Linked DNA regions of Canis lupus familiaris. Each later gene encodes a partner of the first gene's protein in a complex. Links are inferred from orthologs where the notes say so. Each region holds a gene or a part of one and is shown in the gene's direction. Other genes may lie near its edges. The genes, in order: MAP3K5, DCP1A, ARHGEF6 and PAK1.

The links.
Region 2: MAP3K5 (region 1) and DCP1A share a complex: the UniProt entries of both Homo sapiens proteins name them as parts of the cytoplasmic complex. The link is inferred for Canis lupus familiaris from reciprocal best matches to the Homo sapiens genes MAP3K5 and DCP1A.
Region 3: MAP3K5 (region 1) and ARHGEF6 share a complex: the UniProt entries of both Homo sapiens proteins name them as parts of the cytoplasmic complex. The link is inferred for Canis lupus familiaris from reciprocal best matches to the Homo sapiens genes MAP3K5 and ARHGEF6.
Region 4: MAP3K5 (region 1) and PAK1 share a complex: the UniProt entries of both Homo sapiens proteins name them as parts of the cytoplasmic complex. The link is inferred for Canis lupus familiaris from reciprocal best matches to the Homo sapiens genes MAP3K5 and PAK1.

What each region holds. Positions count from the first base shown.
Region 1 is NC_049222.1:29,533,573-29,537,636, reverse strand, and holds the start of MAP3K5 (mitogen-activated protein kinase kinase kinase 5), read left to right. Parts: upstream 1-1,264; 5' UTR 1,265-1,283; coding exon 1,284-1,707; intron 1,708-4,064. UniProt on the Homo sapiens protein: Serine/threonine kinase which acts as an essential component of the MAP kinase signal transduction pathway. Plays an important role in the cascades of cellular responses evoked by changes in the environment.
Region 2 is NC_049241.1:36,946,764-36,951,051, forward strand, and holds part of DCP1A (mRNA-decapping enzyme 1A), read left to right. Parts: intron 1-1,469; coding exon 1,470-1,688; intron 1,689-1,972; coding exon 1,973-2,053; 3' UTR 2,054-4,288. UniProt on the Homo sapiens protein: Necessary for the degradation of mRNAs, both in normal mRNA turnover and in nonsense-mediated mRNA decay. Removes the 7-methyl guanine cap structure from mRNA molecules, yielding a 5'-phosphorylated mRNA fragment and 7m-GDP.
Region 3 is NC_049260.1:108,083,789-108,089,372, reverse strand, and holds the start of ARHGEF6 (rho guanine nucleotide exchange factor 6), read left to right. Parts: upstream 1-2,227; 5' UTR 2,228-2,509; coding exon 2,510-2,674; intron 2,675-3,877; coding exon 3,878-3,961; intron 3,962-5,584. UniProt on the Homo sapiens protein: Acts as a RAC1 guanine nucleotide exchange factor (GEF).
Region 4 is NC_049242.1:21,494,933-21,499,908, forward strand, and holds part of PAK1 (serine/threonine-protein kinase PAK 1), read left to right. Parts: intron 1-1,211; coding exon 1,212-1,386; intron 1,387-3,651; coding exon 3,652-3,715; intron 3,716-4,976. UniProt on the Homo sapiens protein: Protein kinase involved in intracellular signaling pathways downstream of integrins and receptor-type kinases that plays an important role in cytoskeleton dynamics, in cell adhesion, migration, proliferation, apoptosis, mitosis, and in vesicle-mediated transport processes.

The sequences.
Region 1 (4,064 bases):
CATTAACGATAACATTGCCAGTGCAATTTTTTTTTTAATGGAAAGTAGCGGAGGCCGACCTGATAAGTTGTGCCAGCCACGGTCGGGAATCGATCGCCCGTTGCCGTCCAATATAGGCCCCCGCGGCGGGGCGCTAGAGGAAATCCTCCGGCCTTGCGCAACGCAGGCCCCTCGGCGCAGCCCAGCGCTGGAGCGCCGCGCGCCGAACCAGACCGCGCGCAGGGCGAGGCCGCCAGGCGCCGGACGGGGGCGCCCTGGCTGCGGGGACCGGGGCGAGAGCCTCCCGATAGCTCCGGAGCCCCGAGTGTTCTCCGGAGAGACTTTTTTTTTCTTTTTTTTCTTTTTCGTGCGCCGTGCTGCCTTCGCGCGCGCTCCAGGCTTTGGCCGACTCCGGGTCTTCTTAGGTGGGGGTCCGGTGGGTGACGGCGGAGCACTCCCGCCCCGCGCCGAGCCCGGGGCCTGGCCGAGGTCCGGGAGCCGCGGCGCGGCCGGTTTCGTCCCGGCTCCAGCTTCCCAGCAGCGCCCTCCCCCGGGGCGGGCCCTGACTCTCGGGGCCGCGACGAGTGGGCGGCAGAAGCCGGTGGCCCCCTGGGCGAGCGGCTGCGGGGAGCGGCGAGACCCAGCGGCGAGGCTGGCGCTGGGACGCAGCGGCCGCGGCGCGCTCGGGCGAGAAACGAGGCCAGGGGAGGAGGAGGAACTAGAGCCCATGAAGGGGAGCTGCCGCCGAGGAGGGAGGCGGGTCCTTTCGGCTGCGGCGGCTGCTGTTCCGGGACGCAGCCCGGGGAGCCTGCTCGCCCGAGAGGTGCTGGCCAGGTAGCTCCCCACCCAGCGGGCGCCCTCCCCGGCCCCTCCCAGCGCCCGGCACGCAAGGAGCGGGAGCCGCGCTCCGGGGGGCCAGGGCGCTCCGCACGGCGAGCGCGGCGCCCTTGAGCTGCACGGCGGCGCGGGCTCGCGAGCCGACTTGTCTGCCGGCAGCAGAAGGAAGCGCGGTCCCTTCCCGCTCACCCTGGCGTCCCCACCGCTCGTACTCTACACCCTGCCTCGGGCGAGCGGCGCGGCCACGGAGGCGCCGAGGAGGGGCGAGCCGCCGCCGGGTAGCGGCGTGCCCCCGGGAGAGAGGGCGCCGGAGAGGAGGCGGCGGCGCGGTGCGGAGGGCGCGACGCGCGATGGCAGCTGCTTAGCCCGGCGCGCGCGGAGCAGCCCGGAGCTGTGGCTGGCCAGACGGTGCGGCTGGGCTGGGGGGGGACGCCGCCGCCGCCGCCGCCGCAGCCCGGCCGGGAGAGATGAGCGCCGAGGCGGGCGAGGGCATCACTTTCTCCGTGCCACCCTTCGCCGAGGGCGGCAGCTGCCGGAGGGGAGGAGCGGCGGCGCCGGCCGAGGGCCCGGAGAGCCAACTACCACCGCCGCCGCCGGGCAGCTTCTGGAACGTGGAGAGTGCCGCCGCCCCGGGCGCCGGCTGTCCGGCTGCCACCTCTGCGAGCAGCGCCACCCGGTGCCGGGGCAGCTCTGGTGGCGGAGGCGGCCGACGGACCACGGTGGCTTATGTGATCAACGAAGCGAGCCAGGGGCAGCTGGTGGTGGCCGAGAGCGAGGCCCTGCAGAGCCTGCGGGAGGCGTGCGAGACGGTGGGCGCCACCCTGGAGACCCTGCATTTTGGCAAACTGGACTTCGGGGAAACCACGGTGCTGGACCGCTTTTACAACGCAGGTGCGTGTGCAGCCCCTTCCGCGTCCTCCACGGTCAGGGGCCACGTTCTCCCTGGCCGCCCGCAGCGGGGCAAGGTTTTCCTAGGCGGCAGGCGTGCTTCCTCCTTACCCACTTCTTGCCCCACCTTAGGGGCAGCGAGCGGCGCTGCGTGACTGCTCCGGGCGCTCGCTGCCCCCGGGGAAGAGTGGGTGCGGGTGCAAGATCCTGTGTACTTGTGCTAGACCGACTGGGTCACCCGCCGGCCCGCGCTGGAGCCGGTCCGGAGGCCCCTCCTCAAGAACTTTTCACTTCTAAAGTAGTGCGAGATAGTGGCCCCATCAGCCTTTGTCCATTTGGGGTCTTGGTTTCTCTTTTGCTAGGTTTGGCCCATTTCTCCCTTCTATATATACACCTGTGACTATTTTAGATGACGCTTTCATTTTTTCTCTGTGTGGTGTTGGGAGAACAGGAACCACGCAGCCCGCTGCTCTCAGAGTCTATCTATACGCATTTGCATGTCGTGTCGTGATCTTCCCAAGTCCTTTCACTCGAACATATTTAGTAGCTTGGATGTTCTAGTCTTAACCGATTTGAACTTCTAAGGAATTACTTCCAAAAGCAGTAACCTTGTCACTTGAACTAAACTTTCGTGGTGTCTTTGTTAGGATTTTGGTGGGAGAATATTATTACCCCATATACCACAATGAGCTGGAAAGTACATAATTTAACATTGTTTAAAATATTTACTATTTTAATAACTAAAAATTAGTTTGTTTAAAGGGAGTGCCACCAGCCCCGGTGGCGCAGCGGTTTAGCGCCGCCTGCAGCCCGGGGCGTGATCCTGGAGACCCTGGATCGAGTCCCACGTCAGGCTCTCTGCGTGGAACCTGCTTCTCCCTCTGCCTGTGTCTCTGCCTCTCCCTGTCTCTGTGTCTCTGAATAAATAAATAAAATCTTAAAAGAATAAATAAAATGTAAAATTAAAAAAATAGAGTGCCAATGTAATCCATAAAAAAGTTATCTTTTCAAGTATCACATATTTCAGAAACTGTCATTGCAGTTCTAGTGATTGATGCAATTAGCTATTTGCTTGCTAAAGTTGGGAATAATATTAACATGCTATTGAAGTTAACCTTTAGTACCCTGTACAACCAAATATGAGAACATACATGTATTTATTTTTTCTAAGTGTGGGCGGAAAATTTAACAGTGGTTTCAAACAATAAGATTCTTGCATTTGTGATCACGTAAAAGGTTTTATATTCCAAACTTGCTTTCAGTTCTGATTCTCTTCAGTCTCTTCAAAACACCTGAAGTAGGCTTATGTCAGCTTTGGAATTCAGCCAAAACTGAATATTTTTAAGAACCAGAAGAACTTCATGTTAAAGAAGTCAGACTAAATAAACCAGGGCTTTCTGGTGCTGGTATTTTTTTTACAGTCTTGGTCTTCAGAACTGAACCTGAGTATGATATATTATAGCTCAGTTTTTTGTGTGGCTTGCTATAAAAATTGCATAAATGTAACTTTTCTAAAAATTATAGCACTCTTATTTTTGGATTATAGTTTGGAAGAAACTTCAAAGAACTGAAAGATATGTGAGGAAAACACCCAAGCAAATACTGAGCCTATTTTTATTGCTCTGATAGATTCTGTATTTTTTATAGGACTCTAAAAAAATAAAAAATCTTAAACTCTAGGCTAATTTGGAAGATAGTTTCCTAACATGGCACAGTTACTGTTTGTTCTCCAAATAACTGTTTGTGGGAAAGAGACAAAGGAAGACTACAAGGGGACCGACATTTGAACTGTATCTTTAATCCCCCAAACAAGCCCATTAAGGAAGTACTTCTTATTCTTCTCAGATGAGGAAACCAAGGACTTTATAACTGGCCTAGACTTACAGGTAGTAACTGATCAATGCAGGGTTCCATTTCAGGTGGCTGACTCTAAAAGGTCATCTTTGCTGCTGCCTCCATTTAGCTGGGCTGATTTACTCTATCTTGGAATCATGTGATAGAGAGCTGGCGGGGACCTGGTGAGCCATTGAGGTGCAGCGTGAATCATGGGGAGGACACTTTGGGAAGACTCGTTTCTGAGCCATTCTGAGCCATCTCTCTCCCATCCATTGCTTCATTCAACCTGAGCAGGCCCCAGTTTAACCCCTACTTATGCTCATGGTAATGAACTCTGAGCCCTGTCATTGAGTCTGAAGATGTGACCAAATGAAGATGGTATGTTTTGTCCAAATCCTTTGTTTTTCTCAACTGACGGCTGCCAACTTGGATGGTAGTAGAACTTTTCTTCTGATTTCAGAGGGAGCGCTTGCTCCTCCTCCACCAGGGAAACAGTTTTCTGGGAAGGGCCAGATGGTAAATAT
Region 2 (4,288 bases), on another chromosome or scaffold:
CAGACCCCAAAAACCACACCCGTAGCCCTGTGGCTGTTTGTAAATGAAGAAGGGTGACAGGAGAAAGAAAAAGAGATGTCTGTTGATTACATCAAATGGATGGATGATTTTTTTTTTTTTTTTTTTTTTTTTTAAGATTTCATCTATTTATTTATGAGAGAGAGGCAGAGACATAGGCAGAGGGAGAAGCAGGCTCCATGCAGGGAGCCCGATGCTGGACTTGATCCCGGGACTCCAGGATCACACCCTGAGCTGAAGGCAGGCACTAAACCGCCGAGCCACCCAGGTGTCCCTGATGGAGGAATTATTAAAAATGCTGACTATTTCTGGTTTAGTATATTCTGATGGTTAGCTGCTATTAGCATAGAAGCACCTCTAAATGGAGGAAGGAGGTAGATGTTTTATTTGTAAGAAGCTGTATCCTGATACCCGTAGCAGAATGATAAGTATATTGGACACTACAAAAGAAACTAATGCTTCATGCAACTGGATTTTTTTTTTCAAGATCTTATTTATATATTTGAGAGAGAGCAGAGTGGGGAGGGGCAGAAAGAGAGGGAGAGGATCTCAAGCAGACTCTGCACTAAGTGTGGAGCCCAACTCAGGGCTCCATCTCACAACCCTAATATTACAACCTGAACCAAAACCAAGAATAGACATTCAACTGATTACAACCTGAGCCAAAACCAAGAATAGACATTCAACTGACACATCCAGGCACTCCTTTTCTTTTTCTTTTTCTTTTTTTATCTGAAGTAAAATTTTACTGCAGTGAAATACATATAAAATGCAGATTCTGTTTTATGAGTTTTAACAAACATAATATCCCTTGGGGTAACCATTCAATCAATATATGTAAGATTTCTATCACCCCAGAAAGTCCCTCATGCCCTCTTCCAATCATTTCCCTGCTCCCCATATAAAACTTTGCAGTTTTGGGGATCCCTCGGTGGCTCAGCGGTTTGGCGCCTGCCTTCGGCCCAGGGCGTAATCCTGGAGACCCGGGATCGAGTCCCACATCAGGCTTCCTGCATGGGATCTGCTCCCTCTGCCTGTGTCTCTGCCTCTCTCTCTCTCTCTCTCTCTGTGTCTCTCATGAATAAATAAATAAAATCTTTAAAAAAAAAACTTTGCATTTTTAATTTATCATAGGATTTTTTTTTTAAGATTTAATTTTTTATTTGAGAGAGAACATGCTTGTGTGCATGAGCAGGGATGGGACAGAGGGAGAAGGAGACTCCCCACTGAGCAGGGAGCCCAACGAAGGCCTCAAGGATCATGACCTGAGCCAAAGGCAGACGCTTAACCAACTAAGCCATGCAGACACCTCTTATCATAGGATTGTTCTTACTGTGCATACCCTGTGTGATCATACTTCTTTTGTGTGATGATCAGACTTGGCTTCCCAAGAAACAGACCCTTCATCCTTTAGCCGACAAGCTTCATTCATGACCATTGTTGCCCTGCAGGTCACAGGCCCCACACTGGTTACTGCAACAACCATGGCAGTGTCTTCAGTCCTGCTGTCCCCGAGTGTTTTCCAACAGACAGTCACAAGGTCCACAGACCTCGAGAGAAAAGCAAGCGCCCCTTCTCCACTGACTGTTGGAACATCAGAAAATCAGAGAAAGCCTTCCATTATTCTCAGCAAGTCCCAGCTCCAGGATACATTAATACATCTAATAAAGGTATGCAGACCATCCCAGCAGTTGAATCTGTAAACTTCTGTTCTTTAATTTTAAAAAACATAAATTCTTTTTAGAAAACCAGTTCATAAGGTGAATTGAAGACTAGCGGGACTGATGTTTCTCTCTTTCTGAGCATATACTCCCAATGGAAAAGTATCTGAATGAATTCCAAAATATTGATTGCAGCTGTCTCTGGGTGATGGGATTCTTTGGGTAGTTAGTTTTATAAATCATTTATACAGTAAGTTCTTCTGAGGTAAATGAAACATTACCATCTCTTCCAGAATGATTCCAGCTTCCTCAGTACACTTCACGAAGTCTACTTGCAGGTTCTGACCAAGAACAAAGACAACCACAACTTATGACTGGAGCAGAATAAATCCGAAGGCAGAATGTCGACCTCAGAAACGAATAGGCCTCATCATGGGAACTTCTAAACAGAACATTGAGTTTTGAGAATCCTGAAATTGAGCCTATGAGAAAGAGACTCATTCCTTAAGAATGTTTTCCAAGTGACGTTCTCAGTGATAATGGAGGTTTCACTGTGAAGCATCACCAGCAGACCTTTGTTTTGACAAAAACAAAACAAAACAAAAACAAAAAAAAAAAAACATTAAGTTGTGTGGGTGTTTTCATCAGCTGTAAGAAGGGATGTGAAATCAGGAGCCTGGTTTTCAGCTTGCTTTCACTCTCAAGGTCATAGGGAGGGGAGGGGTCACCAGCCTTGTAGCAGAGTTCAGCCCGCACCCCTTCCCCTGCTTCTCCCCCCTAGAAATTTGAGCCTTAGGCTGATAGTCAAGTTCTGAACAGAGCAGTAGTCAGCTCTATGCAAAGTAGCTTTGAGTTTTAAGGATCAGAGTTTAAGTTGGCAAATTAGGAATGATTTGTTCAAGTGAAGTATATTTTTATGAATGCCCCATTTGGGCCTTAAAAGTTCTGAAATTTCTCAATTGTGTTTTGTTTTGTTTTTTTAAGTGTCCCCAGAGCTGCCATGCTGCGGGCTCCCAGGGCAGTGATACCACGTGACTAGGGCCTCCTCCGGCTCTGTGATGGTATGGGAGTAGCATGTCACACCTTTGAAGCAAAGGCTGGGACTGGTAAAGACTGAATTTGATCAGAAACCTTCACTTTACGTTAAACTATTGAGTGGTTTCGAAAATGTTAAGTTTTGTGTGAAGTGTAGCCTTATTTTCCTTTTCTGTCTAAACACAGAAGTCATTGTTGATTGTTTTCCTTAACACTTGGCAAAAAGGACCAGTGGACCAATCTAGCAAAGCCATTCTGGTTCCATTCCTCGAGTCTACTGAGAGTAGTTTTAAAGCTATGCAGAAAAGGGAGCTGTTATTCATACTGCCCTTATTTTATTATAGAATATGGAGTTAAAAACAAAGTGTGAAATTCAGAACTTTACCAATGTATTCCTAGGCTGTGAGTACTTTTGCAGCCCAAAGTGTGAAAATATGTAAAGATGCTTTGTTATGCTGCTATTGACCTGCCATGATTTATATTTATTCTTTTATGGCATGTAATGGTGATTAGTAATATTTTAATGTAGACTTTGATTTATTTCAGCAATAGTAATTTTAAGATACTCTTTGAATGAAAGTGTCTTCGTTTCTATGATGCAGATCATTTTGTAGTATTTAACCAATTAAGATGCACTGCTTACTTTTCTGAGCACTATTTAATGATGGGGTAAAAACCCAGTTGGCTCAACCAGCTAGCATAAGGGTGAGCTGTGAATAATGCTGATGGATGTGGTGGTTCCTTGCGAACAGTCATTTAAGCTTTAATGGTAACTCAATCATAAATCGATAGATTTTTTTTTTTTTCCTAGCTGAGATTTTAGAAAATTACTTGTGAATTACATACTTGTTTTAGTTTGGTCTTAGTTTTTTTAGCATAAAGAATACTTTGTTTGATTGGCATTTGTTACTCTAAATATGCTTCCTGGGCAGCTTTTCTGCTTGTCAAATTTAGTGTCTTTTCTTGCTGTCTACGTAGTTATTTGTGAATTGTACAGAAGTCAGGGAAGCTTGTAATTTCTCTTACTCAATGGGGAAGAGTTCGTTGTCAAAGGTAGTGTGTGAATCCAGCAACCAAAAATGAATTGCTTGTACATCACCCAGGAAGGAAAATGTTGAAGTAAGATCCAGAGTGTTGCTGACACCAGGAGATGGTGTCGGGGGGAACCATGTGACTGTTCTCAGAAAACAGGTTTCATCACACCCCCAGTGAGGTTTCCATGGGCTTTGGTACATGGAAGAATCAAGGGATTCTTGTTGTAATAGACGTATGACTTGAAATGACTTGAGTATGTGTAATATTACAAGAGAGTTAAGAGAGAATATCCTAAAGAGGGTCTGTAATCAAATCTGTTAATTTTCACCCTTTAATCCAAGGAATGAACATGATAGAGAATCTATAAGTTTTCCTTAGTGGGAAAATAAACTTTGAAGTGCCCAAGTCATGGAGACTTGAAAAGGGTCAACCTGTTTCAACTCCCAAATTTACATATTCAAAGGATTTACTTAAAATTCAGAAGCCAGAAGTTCACCGTCACAATTACCAGAAGGTTCAGGCCAGAATGAGTCCCTGAA
Region 3 (5,584 bases), on another chromosome or scaffold:
ATAATTACATCAAACCAAACAGTTGGAGGTCAAATCCTTGTTATAGAACTATTGATAGACAAAACAACATGAATGAATCTCAAAATGATGATGCTGAGTGAAAAAAAAAAAACAGAGAAAAGGAAGTACCACACTGTATGCTTCCATTTATATAGGATTTTAGAAAATGTGAACTAATCTGCAGGGGCTGAAAGCAGATTGGAAGGGAAGGTAGGGAAGAAGGGACATCTTTGGGGGTGATGGAAAGTTTTACTTGCATTGTGTTTGATTGTATTGCAGGTGTATATGTCAAATTTAATTAAATTGGTCATCTTAAATAGGTGCATAATAATATGCATCAATTATATTTCAGTAAAAGAAATCAGCAAGGAAAAATTTTTGTTTTAAGACATAAGAGTTTATTCGTTCATTCATGCATTCCTCCAGCATTTTTAATTTTATTTATCTTTAAAGATTTTATTTATTTATTCATGAGAGACACACAGAGAGAGGGGCAGAGACACAGGCAGAGGGAGAAGCAGGCTCCATGCAGGGAGCCCGACGTGGGTCTCGATCCAGGGACTCCAGGATCACGCCCTGGGCCAAAGGCAGGCGTTAAACCGCTGAGCCACCCAGGGATCCCTCCTTCAGCATTTTTTAAAAAAGATTTTATTTATTTGAGAGAGAGCAGGAGCAGGGAGAGGGGAGAGGGAGAAGGGGGAGGGATGGAGGGAGAAAGAGAAGCAGACTCCTGACTGAGCAGGGAGCCTGACCCTAGGCTCTATCTCAGGACCCCAGGATCATGACCTGAGCCAAAGGCAGACAACCAATTGAGCTACTCAGATACCCCTCATTCAGCATTGTAGAATATCTACTATGTACCTGATCCTGCTGGGAACAGTGTTAAACAAAACAAACAAGACGTCTACTCTAGGGAGGTTACATTCTGGTGGAGGAGACATATCAACAAGTAAATAGTAACGTGATAAGTGTTAGGAACATGGCAAGAAGAGGAAGCTTTGAAAACATTTAGCAGGATTATCTAAGCTGATCATTTGGTAGTAGATGTCTAGAGCTGTGTTGAGAAGGATTCGGAAGCTTAGCAGGATCCCCTACTTGAGGAGGGGCAGTGACTGATGGGGAGGAGCATGCATTTGCCAGTTTAAGGCTATGCTGTTCTCATTGGTCTTCTTACAAGTTTCCCAATAGTATGACTATTTCAACTGGTTGTGAAAAGATCTCTTGTTTTAGACCAGGTTTGTTTTTTTTCAGAGCAGCATTTTTAAAAAAGGATTTTATTTATTTATTTGAGAAAGAGAGAGAGACAGCAAGAGAGAGTACAAGTGGGGGGTGGGTGGGGAGAGGGACGGAGAAGCAGACTCCCCACTGAGCAGGGAGCCCGACATGGGGCTCAATCCCAGGACCCTGGGATCATGACCCGAGCTGAAGGCAGATGCTTAACCAACTGAGCCACCCAGGCGCCCCTAGAGCACCATTTTTAACGCAAAGTGTTTCTTGTTGGGGAAGCATCAACTTTCCAGACTATAGTATAGACAGAGGACAAGTGCTCTTTTGTTCTCAAAAGTTCTGTTTTCAAGTGTTTTATACCCTCTCATAGGACTGTGTCAGAGCCTTTGCTAGGGGTACTGCAGCTGGATTGTGTAGTGGAACCAGGTCCAGAAAAAGAATTGCTAAAGAATGCAAGTAAACAGGATGTCAGATGTTATCCTTAGCCTATTTCCCTAAACATAGCTTTTTGGCTGCAAAGTAAAATGCCATTCTTCTAGCTTCTGCTTGTACACAGTGATGGCTGACAGCAGGCACCGTCTTCATTTGCTTGGCACGTTATCACCATGCAATTCAACGTGTTTTACAAGGGATGATCATGACACACCATCTCTGTGAGACAGTATGAGGACATCCGGCCATTTCTTGGAAGAATTTTCTCAGCCTACCTTCTTCATGAGCCTCAGATCTATGTGACCTAAGAGCCAGTTGGCATCTTCCTCCTGACAGCAGCCAGATTTTCACTGGGGCTAGACTATTTATTGACAGTGTTTCCCCAGACTGGCCCATGAGTGTCTCATTGCCAAAGTCCCCTGTGTTTTCCAAGAGCACTTGCTTCATTCTCTCTCCTCCCTCCCCAGCATCCTCCTCACTTCCTTCCCTTACAGCTTCTTGCACTGTTGGGTTTTTTTTTTGGGGGGGGGGGCTGTGTTTATGTGTGTTTCTTCTTCTTTTTTTTTTAACCCTGGTAAGTTAGCTTTGCAGGCTTGGAAAACAAAATCCAGCATTATCCAAAGATTTTTATTCTTTCTATTTCTACATCTTTTAAGTGTGATCTCTGTGGCTTTAAGATCCTGTAATTGGAGTGGGGTCGCGTTATCTAAGAAAGTCGTTGAAACGCTTTGCTCTGCAAGCCCCAGAAGAGAACTTATAAAAACGGAAGGCAGTAGCAGATGCAATTACGGATGTGGCTTAGTCCTTGCAGCTGCCCTGGGGAGCTGTGCAGAGCATACAGTCCTCAGCGATGAATCCAGAAGAGCGAATCGTGACATGGCTTATATCCTTGGGAGTTTTAGATTCCCCCAAAAAGACCATCTGTGATCCAGAGGAGTTCTTGAAGTCCTCGCTGAAAAATGGGGTAGTGCTGTGCAAACTGATCAACAGACTTAGGCCTGGCTCTCTAGAAAAGGTAAGGGAAATGGGCATTCTCTTTAGGATTGCTTACCACCAGAGAGCAGCAATAATGTAACCCTTGAGATGTTCTGTTGCCTGGATCATGGGACTCTGCCACTTGAATCTCTTCCTAGGAGTTTGGCATTCTGTCTTGTTTTTGTAGCTTGAAAAGCTCAGAAAATGAAAGGTTATCCGTTAGCACTTGGCCCCCAAATATAGTAAAATCATGATACAATGTTGGTGCCAGGGGACAAGGAGAAAATACTCGTATCATTTGCTCTGTCATAGAGATATGTGTTATTACTCTCTGTGTACCAAGGGCATATTTTGAACTTGGGGTATATATGAATTGGTGTAATAACGGGATGATTTATAATAGATATTGATGGTGTTTATTGACAGTTTGACTAAAATCAATGTTGATTTGCTTCTCAAAGAAATAAAATATCCTTTGAAACAGAGGCAACCAGAAGAAATAATCCAAAATGTCAGAAAAGGTTTGTTAAAACAATAGAAACCAGATATATGTTTTGTATGCAACATGTGTTCAAAGTGAAACTAACCTTACTCTCTTTTAAAAAGCCAAAAGTTTTAATGTTGGAAATCCATATTCACAAGGATAGATAATTTCTAAAGTAGGCACTTTAAGTTTAAAGGTTGAATCCTACAGCTTTCTTAAGGTTAGCAGGGGACGTGACTATGAGCATAACGTGAGTGCTTTTGCCTTCTTGTACTGGTTGGTATTTTTATTGAGCAAATTGGTTTACTTATAATTTCTCTGAAACTTGAAAAACAGTGCTGAAGTGGTAGTGCAACATGCAGAACTGTAACCAAATGTAACAAACAGTAAATGGGAGGATAGAGTGTTAATAAATTATCATGGGGAGGAGGGAGCAAGAAAATAACTTAAAAGCAAGAACCAAGGTCAAAACACAGCCTGGATCTAATTTGCTGTCTCCGCACTTTGGCTGAAGGCTAAAAAATAGTTTGTCAGTAGAGATAGGTGGTTTGGGACTGGAAGTTTGGTGACATTTGAAACAGACCGACCGTTTAGACTTTTACATCACTTCCTCCAGTGGTTATTTCTCTTCCTGGATTGACAGCAATGTGGCCCCTGCCTTAAAAAGCTTACCTATCTAGTTATCAGAAAATGAGGACTATGGTGTATGCTTGGCATGCGATAACAGGGTTCAAGTGACATTTGGCTATGTTTTTCTAGTACTGTTTGGAGCCCCAAACCGAAGCTGACTGCCTCAACAACATCAGTGACTTCCTGAAAGGATGTGCAGCCCTTCAAGTGGAGGTAAGCCCACCCGGGATGCCTTGCCTTGCTAGTGAAAATGGTGTTGTACTAAAAGTACTGGGTTGTTTCTGACTGTTACACAGGGGTAGCATTTTATGGAGATCATGGTTAAGATTGGTGGTCTCCAGTGGTGGCTGGTTAGTTTGTCTTTTCCAGAAACCAGTTCCAAAACAAAATGAAACAAAACAAAATCAAAACTCAGAATATGCTATTTTTTAATACAGCATCCGTGCCCTGAAAGCAGGCTTCCAGTGACAAAGGCTGTGTAATGTGCCTCCCTCCTGGGAGGAACCAAAAGCAGGCCATTGGCCGCTCTAGGGGGTCATAGTAATCCCCCCCCTCCGAGTTGGGAAGAGATGAAAGTATACTGTCACTTTTTTCCTATTAACACTTTAGAACAGAGGCCATGAAAAGCCAAGAGAGCCTGGCCCTGTGGTAGAAATTGTATATTAACTTACATTGCACTATTTTATATCATATAGATCCTTACAGTATATTTGGGGGTATTGCTGCAAAGGAGGTGATACTTTTGTCTGAGTGTCCAATTATGTAACTTCTTTGTTCCTCAGTGTGTGTGTGTGTGTGTGTGTGTGTGTGTGTGTGTATTACATCTTTATTTGCAGAAGCAAAATCATGGAAACAACATCCATAACTAGCAATGGGAGAATAGTCAAATAAATTATAGTACATTCAAATGATGCTGAAGTCTTATACATTCATTTAAAAAAGATTGTAGGTTTTTAAAATGGAAGTATAGTTATATTGATATTAATATTAGTTGATATTAATATTAACTAATATTATATTAGTTTTAGATGTACAATGTGTGATTCAACATTCTATACATTACACAGTGCCCACCATAGTAAGTGTAGCTACCATTTGTCACCATACAATGTTACTTCAATATTATTCTTTAAAGATTTATTTATTTATTTATTTATTTATTTATTTATTTATTTATTTATAGAATGCGTGGGGGAGGGGCAGGGGAGAGAGAGAATCCTGAAGCAGACTCTCCTCCAAATGTGGAGCCCACTGCGGGGCTTTGTGTGGGTGGGGTTGGACACGAGGCTTGATGCCAGGACTTGGAGATCATGACCTGAGCCAAAATCAAGGGTCGGCCACCTAACCAACTGAGCCACCCAGGCGACCCTACAATATTATTGACTGTATTCCCTCTGTTTTATTTGTCATCCCCATGACTTACTTATTGTAACATTGGAGGTTTGTGCCTATTAGTCGCCTTCATCTATTTCATCCATCCTCTCAGTCCCCTTCTTTCTGGCAACCACCAGTGTGTTCTGTTTCTATGAGTCTGTTTCTATTTCATTTTGTTTTGTTTTTTAGATTCCACACATGAGTGAAATGGTATGGTAATGGCCTTTCTTTGTCTGACTTACTTCACTTAGCATAATACCCCATCCATGTTGTCCCAAATGGCAAGATTTCATTCATTTTTTTTATATGATTGAGTGCATGTATACCATATTTGTGTCTGTTCATCTCTGAATGGATGCTTGGGTGGCTTCCATATCTTAGCTATTGCAAATAATGCTTTAATAACCATACAGATGCATATTTTTTAAGGATTTTATTTATTTATTCATGAGACATACACAC
Region 4 (4,976 bases), on another chromosome or scaffold:
CTTTTCTTCTCTGTTAAATTGTAGCATTCTACCTCTTAGAACACCATTGATGAAACTGAAAGACCCATAGGAATTTATAAATACATTAGTGCTATTAATATGCTGGACATCAGGAGTGCATTTTGTTGTTGAATATTGGCAGCGATTTTTATTTAACTTCTTTTGAGGTTCTTGCATCTCAGCATAGCCACAGTCCCTCTGCCCTCACTTTGCACAATCTGGTCCCCATGCTTTTTATTTGATTTAGCATCACTGAGCACTGACCTGTCATCAGATGATACTCTTTTAGTGTTTCTTTGTTTGGACTTTGTTTATGACAAGAGCTTTATAATGAAAGAATGATCTAGGGCTTAAACTCTGTGATAATACAAAAAAAAAAAAAAAAAGGCTGGCTGAAAGGTATTCAAGCAGAAGTTGGTTGCCTGACTATAGGAGAGTGTGTGAGGAAAATCCAGGGGGTTTAGATGACCTTTTAGGATTAGACCTTACAAACAGGATCTGTGGAATCACCCTTTCTATAGGTCACAAAGTCACCCTAATGAAAATAAGATTCAAAATTGGAGATTTGTCAAGGTAGTTCACATTGATATGGCCTTTTTTTCAGTTTGCAAGCATGTTCATTTAAAAAAAAAAATTCGGGGATCCCTGGGTGGCGCAGCGGTTTGGCGCCTGCCTTTGGCCCAGGGCGCGATCCTGGAGACCCGGGATCGAATCCCACGTCAGGCTCTTGGTGCGTGGAGCCTGCTTCTCCCTCTGCCTGTGTGTCTGCCTCTCTCTCTCTCTGTGACTATCATAAATAAATAAAAATGTTTAAAAAAAAAAAAATTCTCACTAAACTAGGAACTTCTCAAAAACAGAGGAAATATATATGTATTAATAATGCTTAACATAGTTCTGGGCAGGTGTCAGAAAGGCAGTAAATAATGAACAAATGAATTAATAAATTTGATCTTCATAGCACTCCTTTCTAAAAAGACATTGTTAATTCCTAATTTGTGTTGTGTATAGTGAGAACAAGGAAGGCCATTTCACCCACATGGGATAGGCCTGGGCACAGAGGGGAGGAACATAGATTTTGACCTAGGAGGAGAGATGAGTTTATTGGGATTTGCTCTGCTGTGGGTGTTCTAATACACCTCTATAAGAGGCTCCTGAGTGTTTTCTGTGCTAACAAAGACTGTCTTTACCAAATTCTTTTACCAACAATACAGGTATATACACGGTCTGTGATTGAACCACTTCCTGTTACTCCAACTCGGGATGCGGCTACATCTCCTATTTCACCTACTGAGAATAATACTACTCCACCAGATGCTCTGACTCGGAATACTGAGAAGCAGAAGAAGAAGCCCAAAATGTCTGATGAGGAGATCTTGGAGAAATTACGTAAGCACTTTGTAGCTGTCTGAACTTGCGTTTTGTGTGTGACTGAATGAGCACAAAGATGGAAAAACATTGCTAAAAGGATCCTAGTCCTAGACTTGGTCTATGTGGCTGGCTGGCTATGCTCGATATCTTAGCCACATAAGGTAGGCTTCTCACCTTGCCCCTGCACCTACCTCCTCTGTCTCAGCAACCCTGATTGGATATTGTGTTAGGATAGAAATGTGAGGGGAGTGTGGACAGCTCACTTCGAGCTAGGCATCTCTCAACCGTAGGCATCGGTTATGGAGATGAAAAGTAGCTTTTATCTAATGGAATAGTGTGGAATGTTGTGTTGAGAAAGACTGAGGCCTTACCCATACCTGGTAGGAAAGATTGCTGTGATTATTGATGCTTGCCATTGACTTAGGAGAAGACTGCTCTGCCATCTTGGTTGTAGGAAAAGAGGGAAGGAAAACTAACATTTTGTGAGCCTATCTAGGTACCAAATGACAAGCAAGGTGTTTTCTTGATTTTTTTTTTTTTTTGGTTCCTTTATTCCTCATATTAACCCTGTGAAGACAGACATTATAATCCTCATTTTTTGCAGTTTAATGTATTTGAGGCTCAGGGATGCTAAATACCCTACCCAAGACAGTGACAGGGCTGGGGTCAGAGACCAAGTTATGCTGTTGTAATTAGAGCATGCTGCCTCTTGCTTTCAAGTGGAAACTTCCATTTTATTTTCTTTAGTGGCCAGAAATGGGGTATGTATATTAGAGTAGGTTGTTTCTGTGTTTCAGTAAATTGCAAGAGAATTCATACTAGAAGGAAGGACTAGATTGACCTTTGGGCTTAGAAAAATCATCTGATGCAGCCTTTAATTTATCCTTTGTACCTGTTTACTTCTAAAGAGGATTTGATGTGACTAATTTGGCCAAATCCACAAACTAGCGCTCCTCTCTAAAGCCTAGGTTTCTGATTCTTTAGCTTAGCAGCTCTCAATGTCTTCCTGATAATTCTTGTTTGACTTTTATTTTTTTTTAAAGATTTTATTTATTTATTCATGAGAGAGAGAGAGAGAGAGAAAGGCAGAGACACAGGCAGAGGAAGAAGCAGGCTCCATGCCCAGAGCCCAATGTGGGACTCGATCCCGAGTCTCCAGGATCACACCCCAGGCTGAAGGTGGCGCTAAACCGCTAAGCCACTGGGGCTGCCCGACTTTTTTTTTTAATTTCACTCTTTTACAAGTTGCCCTTGCCCAGAGCCCTTACGAAATGATGAAGCAAGAAAAGCCACTTACCTAGCCATCTGTTTATTCCTATATATAGTGTTTTTATCTGAACCAGATTTATTTTAAAGCAGTCATACTTAGAACATAAAATTGTGAAAAGCAGACTGGCATGAGAGGTAAGGGCACTTGGGTTAAAGCCCCAGTCCAGCCACTGACATGGGTCTTGGGCAATTTCCTACTGTTCTCTGGGCTTCCTTTTTTTCATCTTTTAAAGAGGGATGTTAATACCTTTCTTATTTATAATCATATGAGATAGTATATGTGAAAAGTATCAAATCTTAGTAATTAGTGTTAGGGAGGACACACTGGACTGGGAGACCAAAAACCAAGCTCCTAATCTTATAAGGCCCTGACACCAGTTTGCTGTGTGACCTTTGGGGTGGGGGGGATTATGTTCCCTTCTGTGGGCCTCAGTTTCACCATCTCTAGAGTACAAGTTGTGAAACCTAACCTCTCTCACACCTCTATGCCTTTGCACTTGAATTACTGCCTACTGTAACCCCTTCTCAACTTTCCTTGGCTAACTCCTACTTACCCTATAAAAATCGTCCAGAATCACTTCCTTTCTGAAGCCTCTCTAGTCGGGAAAGGCTCTTTCTGTATTACAACAATTGTATTTTCATGGAACTTTAAGCTTAATTTTCTGTCTCCTCCCTGAGATTGAGCTTCTTGAGAGCAGGGACTGTTTTAACTATGTCTCATCTATCCCTTTATTCTTAGTATTCAACATTGGGCTTGGTACATGATATGTGAGCATATTAAGTGAGTGTTTATTGAATGAATGAATTTAAAAATACAGTCAATAAAAGCAGTAAGGAGATGAAACTTTTGGTTGCAACTTAAAACTAAAAGCTAAGGACCTGCTTAGCGTGGCTTTGGGAATTGGAGGTAGTTCTTTAATCCTTGTCAGCTGCAGGGTTTGGGGGAATATTGGGCCTGTTTTGTATCTTGATCTGGGAAAAAAAAATGATTCATGGTCTCTGTTTCTTTCAAAGGGAGCATAGTGAGTGTGGGCGATCCTAAGAAGAAATATACACGGTTTGAGAAGATTGGACAAGGGTTAGTAGGGGCATTTTCTTTCCCTAGGGAAATTACTTAAAAATTGGGTATGCTGGTGTATATGATTTTGCTTTTGTTTTGCCTCTCATAAACTTCGTTCTTTCTCTACCTCATCTCTCACCCATCTGGAGGTGTTATGTTAGGCTGACTTCAGGTTTGGCAAAATTATGCTTAGTATGAGAGACGTGCCATTAGCTGACCATGTTGCTAAAAATAACCCTTCAGTGAGAGTGCAAAAAGCATTTATCTTCTTAGCACAAAACCTGCTTCCCAAATTACAGCTCTGCTTTTTCAGATTAACCCTTTTTACCTGGCACTGAGACCTACCAGCACTAATGTGAAATGGAAGACTCAGAACTGCAGACCCCTTCTGCTAATGTAATGGGACCTGTCATTCTAGGTGCATGCCAGGATTCATGTCTCCTGCTCTCTGATTTCTTCTCTGTATCTTGCATGCTGCCCTCAGTGTACTGAACTCACCAGATCTTAACTGAGTTCCTGTTTATGTGCTAGGCACTATGAATACAGCTATGGATCTGACACAAACTCTGTCTTAAAGATCTCATGTCTATGGAAAGAGACAAAAAATTATACTATGAGAAGTCTTAAAATTGGCCATTATTTTGAGCAAAAGAAGCCAGATCTAAAAGAACAGAAACTGTATGATTTTGTTTATATGAAGTTCAAAAACAGGCAAAACTAATTTATGTTAATAGTTAATAGTTAATGGTTGTGTCTGAGAAGGGCATGTGAATTGGGAAGGGGCATGAAAAACCTTTGGGGATGATCTTAGTGGTGAACACATGGGTGTGTACATATTGAAAAATCATCAAGTTGTACACTGAAGGGTTGTGCAGATTACTTTAGTTAAGTTATACCTCTGTAAAAGAAAAAAAGCAAAATAATGAGATTTTTACAAATCTACCCAAATAGCTAAAATTAAAAAGAAACAGAAAGAAAAAGCACCTGACTTGTAGAAAGCTATCAGTGTTAATTGAATGAAAGCATTGTTTTTAATAAAGTCTTTGAAATTTTCTGTTTCAATTTTCTTTCTTACACATCCAAGCACTTCTGAAAATAAAAGTATTGCGTTATATAATCATATATTTGTACAGCATTCTACAGCTTAAATCTGTTATTCACATCTGTTGTTTAATTTAATCCTTGAAGACCCACAGGAGTGGGTCTTATTTTTTCCTGGTTCAGTGCTTTTCCTATTAGACATGCTTTTGTGAGTCTGAACTGGTATAAAATAGTTAAC